Linked DNA regions of Drosophila melanogaster. The protein of the gene in region 1 purifies or fractionates together with the protein of each later gene. This does not show direct contact. Each region holds a gene or a part of one and is shown in the gene's direction. Other genes may lie near its edges. The genes, in order: Pabp2 and orb2.

What was found.
Region 2: the proteins of Pabp2 (region 1) and orb2 purify together in Drosophila melanogaster (affinity purification with western blotting; 2 studies listed by BioGRID, with this or other methods). This does not show direct contact.

Annotation. Positions count from the first base shown.
Region 1 is NT_033778.4:8,129,642-8,135,015, forward strand, and holds Pabp2 (Pabp2), read left to right. Parts: upstream 1-1,789; 5' UTR 1,790-2,082; intron 2,083-2,279; 5' UTR 2,280-2,392; coding exon 2,393-2,491; intron 2,492-2,748; coding exon 2,749-3,150; intron 3,151-3,300; coding exon 3,301-3,434; intron 3,435-3,499; coding exon 3,500-3,539; 3' UTR 3,540-3,567; exon of another isoform or gene 3,568-3,836; intron 3,837-3,973; 3' UTR 3,974-4,733; downstream 4,734-5,374. Other genes in the region: Pbp49 (PSEA-binding protein 49kD), read right to left, coding at 1-987; CG42516 (uncharacterized protein), read right to left, coding at 1,051-1,503; Obp44a (Odorant-binding protein 44a), read right to left, coding at 4,869-5,255, 5,326-5,370. UniProt on the Drosophila melanogaster protein: Involved in the 3'-end formation of mRNA precursors (pre-mRNA) by the addition of a poly(A) tail of 200-250 nt to the upstream cleavage product.
Region 2 is NT_037436.4:8,949,955-8,955,145, reverse strand, and holds the start of orb2 (orb2), read left to right. Parts: upstream 1-1,911; 5' UTR 1,912-2,327; intron 2,328-5,191. Other genes in the region: GNBP3 (Gram-negative bacteria binding protein 3), read right to left, coding at 1-120. UniProt on the Drosophila melanogaster protein: RNA-binding protein involved in translational regulation and required for long-term memory. Required in mushroom body gamma neurons for long-term memory in male courtship. Binds to mRNA 3'-UTRs.

The DNA of each region.
Region 1 (5,374 bases):
ATCGTGCAGCTGTCGCCGGGACTGGTTCACGATGAAGCTATAGCTGCGAATGCCGCACATATAGCAAGTCCTGCGATTAAACGTACTGAAGGCGTGAGGATAGGGATACAGGCTGCGATCTGGCCGTTTACTAAGTGGCGTTAGCACCTCTACCTGGGAGATCACAAACAGGTGTTCGCAATTGCCGTGGTGCAGGTAGTGTAGCGGTGATCCGGGGCTGACAGTGAGATCGATGAATCTTTTGCCCTCCATACTCTCCACCTTAAGCGTTTCTCCGTTCACTCCGTTCGCTCTGGCAGCCCACTGCAAGACGGTCTTGGAATAGTCGGGATTGTCCGGATTGCGCTGGTCGTTGTAGAATGTGTCGTTGATGAAGAAGTAACCGGGATTTGTGTCAATGGATGGCAACGGTGCATCTGGATCGTCGCTGATGTCGACAAACCGTTTTCCATTGCAAACGCAGCTGATCTTGTCCCGCAGCTCGGTCAGATAATTGCTGCCCAGACATACGAACTCCTCGGCGAAAACGGGAATCTCCACCTTAAACCCGCGATGGTAGGCCCGCGGTGGTCGATATAGACGCACGGTTAGCTCCAGTTCGCCGCAAGCATCGATGTGCAGGTTAGGCGAGTCTGTCGGCGTCGGATTCAGTTTGTGGCTGTACTGGGTGCGGCCAAAGGGACACTTACGGGACTTGTCCTTGTGCTGGCTTAGAGCAGTAAAAGTGGAGGGCACATGCTGGTTCTCCTGCGGCGGAGAAAAGGTTGGGCGGCATTTGTCTGCGGCGGGCTGGAAGACTGCAATCGAGCTGTCGTCTGGGGACTCGATCAAGTCCAGGGAACAGCTTTCAGACACGTCGACAAGTACTGGGTTTTTTTGGAGAAAGAAGGGCACTTCGTCTGCAGTACCGGATATTTTCTTTTGATAGTCGGCTAGAAAGTCTCGCAGGCTTAAAGCTGGATTCGTTGTAATATAGGTGGTATCCATGGTACTAAGAGGTATGTCTTGAAAGAGTGTTTTTTGTTCAGGATTAGACTCAGTTCTCCACACTCAATGATCTTCTCCAAACTTGTTAATAGCCTCCTTGTAAGTTATATTTAGCTTCAGAGATTCTGGCTTTGGCTCGGTCTGATCGTCCTCTTCAGTCTCAGCCGACTTCTCCACCTCCTGGTGCAAATTGTCCACGTAGACCCTTTCAAAAGATATCACCTTGGTGGATTTGTCCACGTACTGGTACCGCTGGCGACACACTGACTCAAAAAGCGGATCACTTGCCAGATTGTCTTTTTCCTTCTCAAAGAACACGTTGGTTCCCACGGAATGTTCGTAGCGTCCCCGATAAATGCTTCCATTTACCTCGGCCATGGGCGTGTCACTCTCGATTCCGATGATCTTAATGGCCGCGTCCTCGTGCTTCAGCTGGTGCGGATGAATGTGGTTCTTGAAATCCGCAAATACCAGGTACTCTGTGTCCTCGTACTCCGAATCGGAGGAATCGTTCATGTTCTCCTTTTATCGTTATGCATGGGCCCTGATTGATGGTTGAATGATGGCGTTATTTCGCAATATATGACTTCCTTAAACAATAATTTGTCTGATTCCCATTTACAAAACCTTGTTAGAAATGTGCGTGCACATTCCTCTTCTTTCCTTCCTATGGTAAATTTAAAATGGCATTGTGGTGTGAAAATACTATTATTTTTATCATCCAAAGAACTGCTTTCTTAAATACCGGCAGTTATCGATAGGTAAACCCACCACCAAACCATCGAAACTATCGAGGCGAAAACTGTCATCGGTAAAAACGAGGCGAACACAAATCTGTTTCAATTTGTGTCAAAAACTACGTACGTTTTCGTATAGTTGTAAATATTAGTAAATAATAAATAAATAAGCTTATAAATAAATATTTATGCTGACGTGGTGTGGCGCGAAACAAAGTCGAAAAGGGTTTAAAAACGTAGACTTTTGAACGAAAAACAGCAACCCAGCAACCCAGCGTACGTGTGTTTTCACAGGGCAGCCATTTTGGGCGAACTCAACGTCAGCAGAACGAGCTCGTAATTTGTACATTTATTAAACGTAAGTACAGTGTGTTTAATTAAATATCAGTGTAGTAGTGCGAACGCAGTGAAACCTAGACATTTCGGTGTCCGCAGCCTGAATTTATTTACTTATGGCTTGGATTTTCACTGCATTTGCATGATGAACTCTTCATTCGCGCTCTTAATGTTTTACGCTCTTTATGCTCACTTTCGCCGCCCTTTTCTCATTGACAGCTACCATACATACATAGTTACGACAACTGCCGTTTTGAGTACCACGCCGGAAGCTTTTGCGCCAACAAAACCGAGCTTTTGTAGCAGACGTAAACAAACCCAAATCCAAAGCAATGGCCGATGAAGATATCACATTGAACGAGGATCAGCTCCTGGAGTCATTGGAGGAGACGAACGGGGAGCAAGAGACTGAGATCGCCACAGAGGTCGAGGTGAGTTGGGGTTGCCCTTGTAGACAGTGCCCAAGAACCAGTTTCTTGGCCTCACGCCTTGCGAAAGCCCGCCGAATTCCCTGGAAAAGCTCGCAAAGCTTTGGGGGATATACAAAGCCGAAAACCGCAGCAATGGCTGCCATTTTCAGAGCGTCACTTCGCACCGCCACTCCATTCCATTGTCTGCTGTGGTTTCGGGCGTTTGCTCATCGCTCCAAATCAAATACCACTAAATTTCATATTTTCCTCGTCGCCAGGAGGAGGGCAGCATGCAAATCGACCCGGAACTGGAGGCCATAAAGGCTCGAGTCAAGGAGATGGAAGAGGAGGCCGAGAAGATAAAGCAGATGCAGTCGGAGGTGGACAAACAAATGGCCGGTGGGTCTACCACCGGCTTGGCCACAGTCCCGCTTTCTCTTGAGGAGAAGCAGGAAATCGACACGCGGTCCGTCTACGTGGGCAATGTGGACTACGGCGCATCGGCCGAGGAACTGGAGGCCCACTTCCACGGATGCGGCACAATCAACCGAGTAACCATACTCTGCAACAAGGCTGACGGGCACCCCAAGGGATTCGCATACATTGAGTTTGGTTCCAAGGAGTTTGTCGAGACGGCATTGGCCATGAACGAAACCCTCTTCCGAGGGCGTCAAATAAAGGTGAGTATCTGAAGCACTTTTTGCTAGTCCTGCTACCTATCAAACTCTCATGTACATATGTGGATAGAATGAGTCCTAGGGACTCCTACGTAGCGCAATTTTGAAAGCACATATTTAGAGTTGACTTTAGCTTAATCTATTGACTTTCAGGTAATGTCGAAGCGCACAAACCGCCCTGGACTCTCCACCACAAACCGTTTCGCACGCGGCAGCTTCCGGGGTCGAGGAGCCCGTGTCTCCCGGGCGTGCTGTCACTCCACCTTCCGAGGCGCCCGAAGAGCTATGTAAGTGGGCTCTGGAAAATCCCGATTGGATCGAGCTAATCCCGGTCTGTCTTTCGTTCCAGAAGGGGTTACCGTGGTCGCGCCAATTACTACGCTCCTTACTGATTATTGTTTTATTAAAATCCCTAGTAAGGTAAGTTGACAATTTCGAACTGAAAATAATTGATAGTTGAAATTTTATATGTGTGGGTTGCGTCCGATTTATGTCGGTTACATAAAGTAATCCGATATCTATCTCTTATATTTTGATACATTTTTTTTCTTAAAATTTATAAAACCAATGAGGACGTCTTTTTATGTTAAATTTAAGTTGTTAGAAAATGCCGTTTGTTTTTATGGAGCTAAATAGATTTAGTTTGCATAGCTGGTAGATCATTACGGGAAATAAAAACAATCAAATTTATGGTCAAAAACAGAATAATTTTCCGAACCCTTTATGGGAATACCTTGCTCTCATTCGCAGCGTGTTGGGTTTTATTATAATGCTTCCATTCGATTTACCGACTGTCGTCTTTAATCCATTAACTATTTGATTTCAGATTTTTTTACAATATAATTTCAAAAAACATTATTTTATTGCCAAACTTCTTTGCTAAATAAAAAAGAGAAAACAATCGCAACAGAAAACGCCAGAAAAAATATCGTTTCAATAAAAAATGCATCAGCAGCAAGAAAACAGGCGAAAAGAAGAGACCTCGAAAATAATAAAAAATCAACAAGGAAAACGAATATCTTGACTTGGCTATAATGTTTTTTGAAGCACCCAACACCAAACACCCCCTTTTCACACATTTTAATTTTCAATAAAACATCAAAAAAAAAAAAAAGATTATGAAAAACAAGAAGTTGATTTAAAAAACAAAAAAGTATATACAACAATAAGTATATATAAAAGAAGCGCAAAAGAAACCACAAACCCCAAATAAAAGAAGTTAAAAGATGGCAAAAGCAAATAAAGAAGGAAGAAAATATAAAAAAAAAATCAAAAGAACACAAGACTCTTGGGAAAGAAGTAAATCAACAAAATATATAAAAAGTGCGTGTGTAATTTATATATTTAAAAAAAAAATATATAGAGTAAAGAGAAGATAAGAAAAGAAGTTGAATTTACTAAAGCGAAAAAGATGAAGACAAATATAATCGAATTAAATAAGCTATCAATGCCTTTCCTTTGGGCGGGACAAGGTTTTTTGGGATTGAGGATGCGAGTAACAGCTTGATTCCTGCCACCACCAGCAGCCCTACCTCTCTTCCAGCCCTCAGAAATATTGTGAATAATAAAAAGAACATTCTTCATTCAAAAGCACTATTATATGGTTTTATTTCAATCGTAGGATTGCAGAGCCTGAGCGGATTTCAACTCGAAAATGCCGCGTTGCTTGCGTGTTGATTGATCTTTCGCTTCTAGAATTGATGTGGAACTGCGCTGAACTCCTAGTTCTTCTGGACGGCGGCCTGCACGAGGGGCAGGTTCTTGCCAAGGAAACACTTGAAGCCACGGAAGGCCCATTCGTTGGCGGGCGACTTCTGCTCGTTCTTGTCGGCGCACTTCTCGATGTCGGCCTTCAGCGCGGCCTTGTCCTCCTTGCCCTGGCCCAGTTGCGCCACCAGGTTCTCCACCTTGAAGCCCTTGGCCTCATCGAACAGGTCGAATTTGACGAAGATGCACTGGATGTAGTTGCGGGTGATGTCATCGTCGGGATAGTCGAAGGTCTTGTACTTGGCGATCAGGGCCTCGGTCACCTTGCTGCTGGCGGCACACTCCTTGCGCGCGCTCTGCAGATCCTCGGCGGTGCGCAGCTTGTAGTCGGAGGCAGAGGCCTGTCGAGGAGCAAACGGATGAATTTAGATTACTGGCTGCCATCGGCTTCTGTCTCCTTGCAACACTTACCAGACCCAGCAGGGCGCACAGCAGAATAGCAACAGCGTTCTTCATGGTG
Region 2 (5,191 bases), on another chromosome or scaffold:
TCCCTTGGGATAGAAAACATCGATCTTAGCCTTGGGTACTTCATACCCCTGAACGCCAAGGAGCAGGAACAGCAGTTGGAGGCAGCAGCTCCAGGCCACAAAGCGCAATGCATCCGCCATTGTGGGAATACCAATTAAAACTGCGATGAGCGGTCAGACAACTCGGACTTGAAAATCTGAGAATCTTATCAAGAACCGGTCGAGGCTTGTTTGTTAAAGGTGCACTGCAAAAAAGTACACACCGTAAAGTGCTATCGCAGATTCTAAAGTCTAAAGCCTATGTTGAAGCAAGTATGTGCCATCGTAGCTAAAAATAACAATGGGCGATTTAATCAAGAAAATAAAAAGTAAAATACAATAATTTTGGTGTTTTTATATATAAATATCTTTAATGGTAGTATTTTCTAAGTGTAATATTTATTTGAGATTTTTTTGCCAATGTTTAGAGAAGAGCGACAACACTCCCACAAGAAGAATTTGGGATTTACCCAATCACAGCCATTGAGAGTAAGCTTTTAGAAGTATGAGTAAGAATAAAGAAGAACATACGGACAAAATGTACAACCTTCTATTAAAGATGATTTTAGAGATTTTAAAAAGCCCGCTTAATAAACAGCGAAGTTGCCCAACTCTAACGTGTCAGCTGTTTGTGGTATTGTGGTATATCGATAACTTTGCTTGCGGTATATCGCTGTAGTAATAAGGGCATAAGGGCATATCAGTGAAAGATTAAATTTTTTTGTTAATAGTTTCCATTGTTGCCATTAGGTAAATATTTAAACAATACTTCTATTCTGAAATAATAAGCTTCGCCGTGTAGCAGGCGACGAATTTCGATGAAATTCTGAGTCTCGTCCGTTTCCTTGTCTTATTAGCTTTCGTTCTCTCGATAGAAAAATTTGTAGAAAATATCACACACGGGAAAAAACAAAAACATGAACATATTTTTGTAAAATATTTAATTAGCGAGAAGGACACAGCGTACACGTATATTTTGTGGTTTCGCATGTTGTTCGTCAGTGTTTTTGTGCAATTATTTGAAAGATTTGGCCAAACGCGAAACGCAACAGAAAGAGGAGAACACAATAAGACAATAACAAATTCGCAGCGCGTGTGTCGTTGAATGTGCGTGGTTGTGTGCGTTTGTGCTGCTGCCAAAAGAACGCGGATATAAACAAATATCCATTTGGATCGTTGGAGCTGTTTTGTTATTGTAAGTAATGCAGATTTATGTAATTCACTTGTGTGTGTGCTCTTTTTGACCAGTCTTTGTTGTTGTTTCTGCGCTATGAAAACAGCTGTGGCGTTGCCAGACAACATAGCGCTTTATATAATTTTCTATAGGGCTGAATTACACATAATTGCTGTGCTTAGCTTAATTATTACAACATTGGGGCCATTATTTATTTTCCTTGCTAATTACGAGTGACATGTAAAGTTATCGATAAATCGATTGGCTCGTTGGATGGTTTGTTATGGCAGAAGGGGTTCCAAACAACGCACTATAGGCTGAATGGTACCTTTTTGTGGCCAAAACTCCATTCTGTAATTGAGTGTTGTAAATAGCGCTTTTAGGTATATTAGCTGAAACAAAAACTTATGTTTAACTTGAGATTTAAACTGAAAATAGAGAAATCTCAATAAAAAAACGAGTTAATTTAATATAAGGGGCGGTGCCACGACCAGAATTTTTGGTACTATAAAAGATATGGGCTAGTGTCACCCAATGCAAATAACATAAACAAAATATCTCTCCGATTTAAAGTTATTAATTTTGGCCACAAAAAGGTACCATTAAGCCTACAGTGCATCGCACGAAAGCAAAACAAGCGAGAATGATTGATTTTTCGTCGTGCGTCTTCGGGCGAGTGGCAGCTTCGTGGAAAAGCGGGCAGCAGTGAAAACTTTTGGCATCACAGTCGTTGCTGACGAGCGGAAGGGACCGCAGCTCGGGAAAATCAGGAAAGAAAACAACGCGTCAGGGCGCTCTTCTTAAATTTGAAAATTAAATGCAACTAAATAGCGTAAATTAGTCAAAAGTGTAAATAGTTAAAATCGTTTTATAACCAAAAATTACCAGTGTAAATCGCTTATTAGTGCTGTGTTAAAAATAGTTACCGTTGTACGGAAAGAGAGAATCGAGTGCAAAGGAATTTTCCTACGTCACAGGCTGTGCGTTTGTGTGAGTGTGCACCCCCGGAAATGTAACACGCACACTGGCGCAGGAAAAACTTGCACCTGAAAGTTTTCGTCGTGTTTTCCATCTTCGTGCGCTCTCGGCATTCGACATAACACAAAAAAAAATAAATTGAATAACGCAGCAAAAGGTTAGTTATCCGCTATTCAGTGCACCTGTCAAAAATCCTATTTAAAATTCGGACTTATTTGCCCCAGTTTTTATCCAGGGCTGGCATTATCTACCGTCAGCGCGTGTGTATATTAAGTGAGTGTGCGTGCGAGTGTGTGTGTGTGAGAGAGTGTGTACGTAACCAATTGGAACTGGGGCAACTGGCAAATACGGCAACGAATCGGTGGAGCAAAGCAAACGCCGCAATAAACCCCTAAAAAATCTCCAACCCCGTGAAGCAAGCACGAGAAAAGCTGGCTGAAAGCTGCAACTTGGCCCAGTTACTTTGGCTCTAATTGCAGACGTGATAATAGAAGTGCACACAAAGCATAATATTTCCAGAGGGGTGGGTGTGGGACCAAAACCAAAAAGGGGAGAATAAAAAACAGCAGCAGCAGCATGACAAACAAAAACAAACTTCATTTGCCAAGAGCCTTTCAACCAAATTTGTTTGCACACTCATAGCTACAGATAGAGATACAAAGATACAATTGCATTTCAGTTGAAGATGAGCGGCTCTTCCACTTTTCTCGGTTTCTGAGCTCTCGAGTTGGTAAACAAAATTTCGAATTTTTTGGGGTGGCAGGTAGAATAACTGGTTTTATAAATTAACACTTGGCCACATTCAGGGGTAGTTTTTTAATGGGTTTCTTCGTATCACTTTAAAGCATTATCAACAAATACGAGTTAAGATTTACTATTCGCTGCTGCACACCCTAAATGGAAAAACTAAATAAATTTTGAAAACGATACAATAAAGAAATGTTAAATTCAATACCAACTAAAAAATACAGAAAACCAAAGATGTAAAAAAAAAGAAAAACTGATCTAGAAAATAACTCCTTAACTACTGCCAAGTATATTTTGTAGAAGAAGCTGTGAAACTTGGGAAAGTACCCCTAAAATAATGCCCCAATCCTAAGCCGCCGCTCTTTTTGAAGCTGAGCCAAGCAGTCTGTGCTTTTGGCGGCACATTACACTTGTTTACTTTTGAAGTGTGCGTGTGATACGCCTGTGTGTATGTGAGTGCTTCGTGGTGTGTGTGTGTGTGTGCGCTCCATGGGGGCGTTACTGTCTTTGTTGTTGTTATTGCTGTACGTCGTCGTCGTTCCTTCTTCGGCTATTTTTTGGGGGTCGCTCTCGTCTCGTTTGTAGGGCAAAATTGTGTATTGATTATGCCAGTTTTATTTTCCTTTTGTCTACATCCCCAGCCCAGTTTCAAAAACTGGAAAAGTGTGGGGCACCTGCGGTCTGTTTTTCATGCCCGACTGAGCCATTTCATTGGCACAGCGATTTCGTTGTCTCTCCGCATTTAACTAATTAAGAGCCTCTGTCTGCCCATCTCCCCCCTTTTTCAGAACAATAGACGTTTTCCGGTCGCTCAGCCCAAAATGAAGTGCGTGTCCAGGGACAGACGAAAAGCTTTAGAAATTGGATAGTTTAGTGCACTCAACGAAATTTTCAGATACTTTGCATATCTTATTTTTGGACTTAAAATGTAAGAAGCTTAAGAAGAAAACAATACATATCATATGTAAATGCTCCTTTAAGTAGGCAATATTTTGTTCAAAAACAGTTTTTTTTCGAGTATTTTGGAACAATACTTTATTTATGATTAAAATATTTTATTGAATTATTTATAATAATACTTTGACCACATTATAATAGTTTAATTTTGATTTAAATTGCATATTTTGAGAAACTAAACATAGCAATGTGTGGCACCTATTTCCCTCAGTGTTTCTATATGCTGCGCGTATTATATGCAAAACGGGTAGCATATTTGACCGACATCGGGAACAGCGGGCTCTGAAAATCGTTTGCCTCCGGGGGTGGCTTTTGTAATTGGAAAAGCGATCAATTGTAATCCCCCCACCAGGCGGGTTTTCACTTGACTAGCGCTACCAATTTAGAACTCGCTATACCCCATTATCAGGCCATATCTACACACTTTTATTACTCATGCACAAAATACGAAAGGCAAAAGTTTAGAATAGCACTTGTTTATTTGTTATTTTTGGCCCGTCGCTTGCCAAGTTTGCTTTTATCAATAATATGATTGATTGCTGTTCGGTTCCATTGTTTTTTTCTTTCACTTTTTTCCCACAACACGCATTGCACATTTTGTGACCCATTTTATCTTTGGCTTTTCGTTGTTAGCCCGATTAAAGAACGTGAATAGATAGGGAATTTCTTGTTGGCCATAAAAATAGCTCAGTCACATCGAAACGCAATTACCAATGCGCTCTGTGCAAACCGTCAGTTTCTAATAGCCAATTTAGAATTTAAAGTTCAATGGGATATATACATTTATCCCAGTTTTTTAAGCATATGCTTATTTAGTTGAATATATTAGTATTTTAATATACAATGTTTTGTCAGCATATTGGAGTGAAACTATTCACCCAATTTGTAACTTATATTTTCTTATAAATTTTCCTTTCATCGTTAAATGGTAAAATGCTCTGCGAAAATAAATTTTCTTTGAAATGATTTTCTGATGAGCTGGCGAAGATCGTCCAAACGGTCACTGGTAAAAATGTATTAAGGGTTTTAAAAATAGCAAAATAAAAATTAATGTCAAATAGCTATTGCTGCTGCTTTGGTCGCTTTGTTGTTGCTGCCACTGCTGCTTTTTTTTTCGCCTTTTCCCCGTACGATTTATTTATTTTTAAACGCAATTACGTGCGGCTCTAGTGCTGCGATGGCAAATGAGAAAGGGGGGGGGGGGGGGTGTTGTGCGGCGAAAAGTGGGCGTGTGGAGGAGGTGGAGGGGCTCGTTTCCCCCTAACAACACACGCATGACGTTGACATTTCGAAAACAGCAAGTGTTCAGGCCAAAAT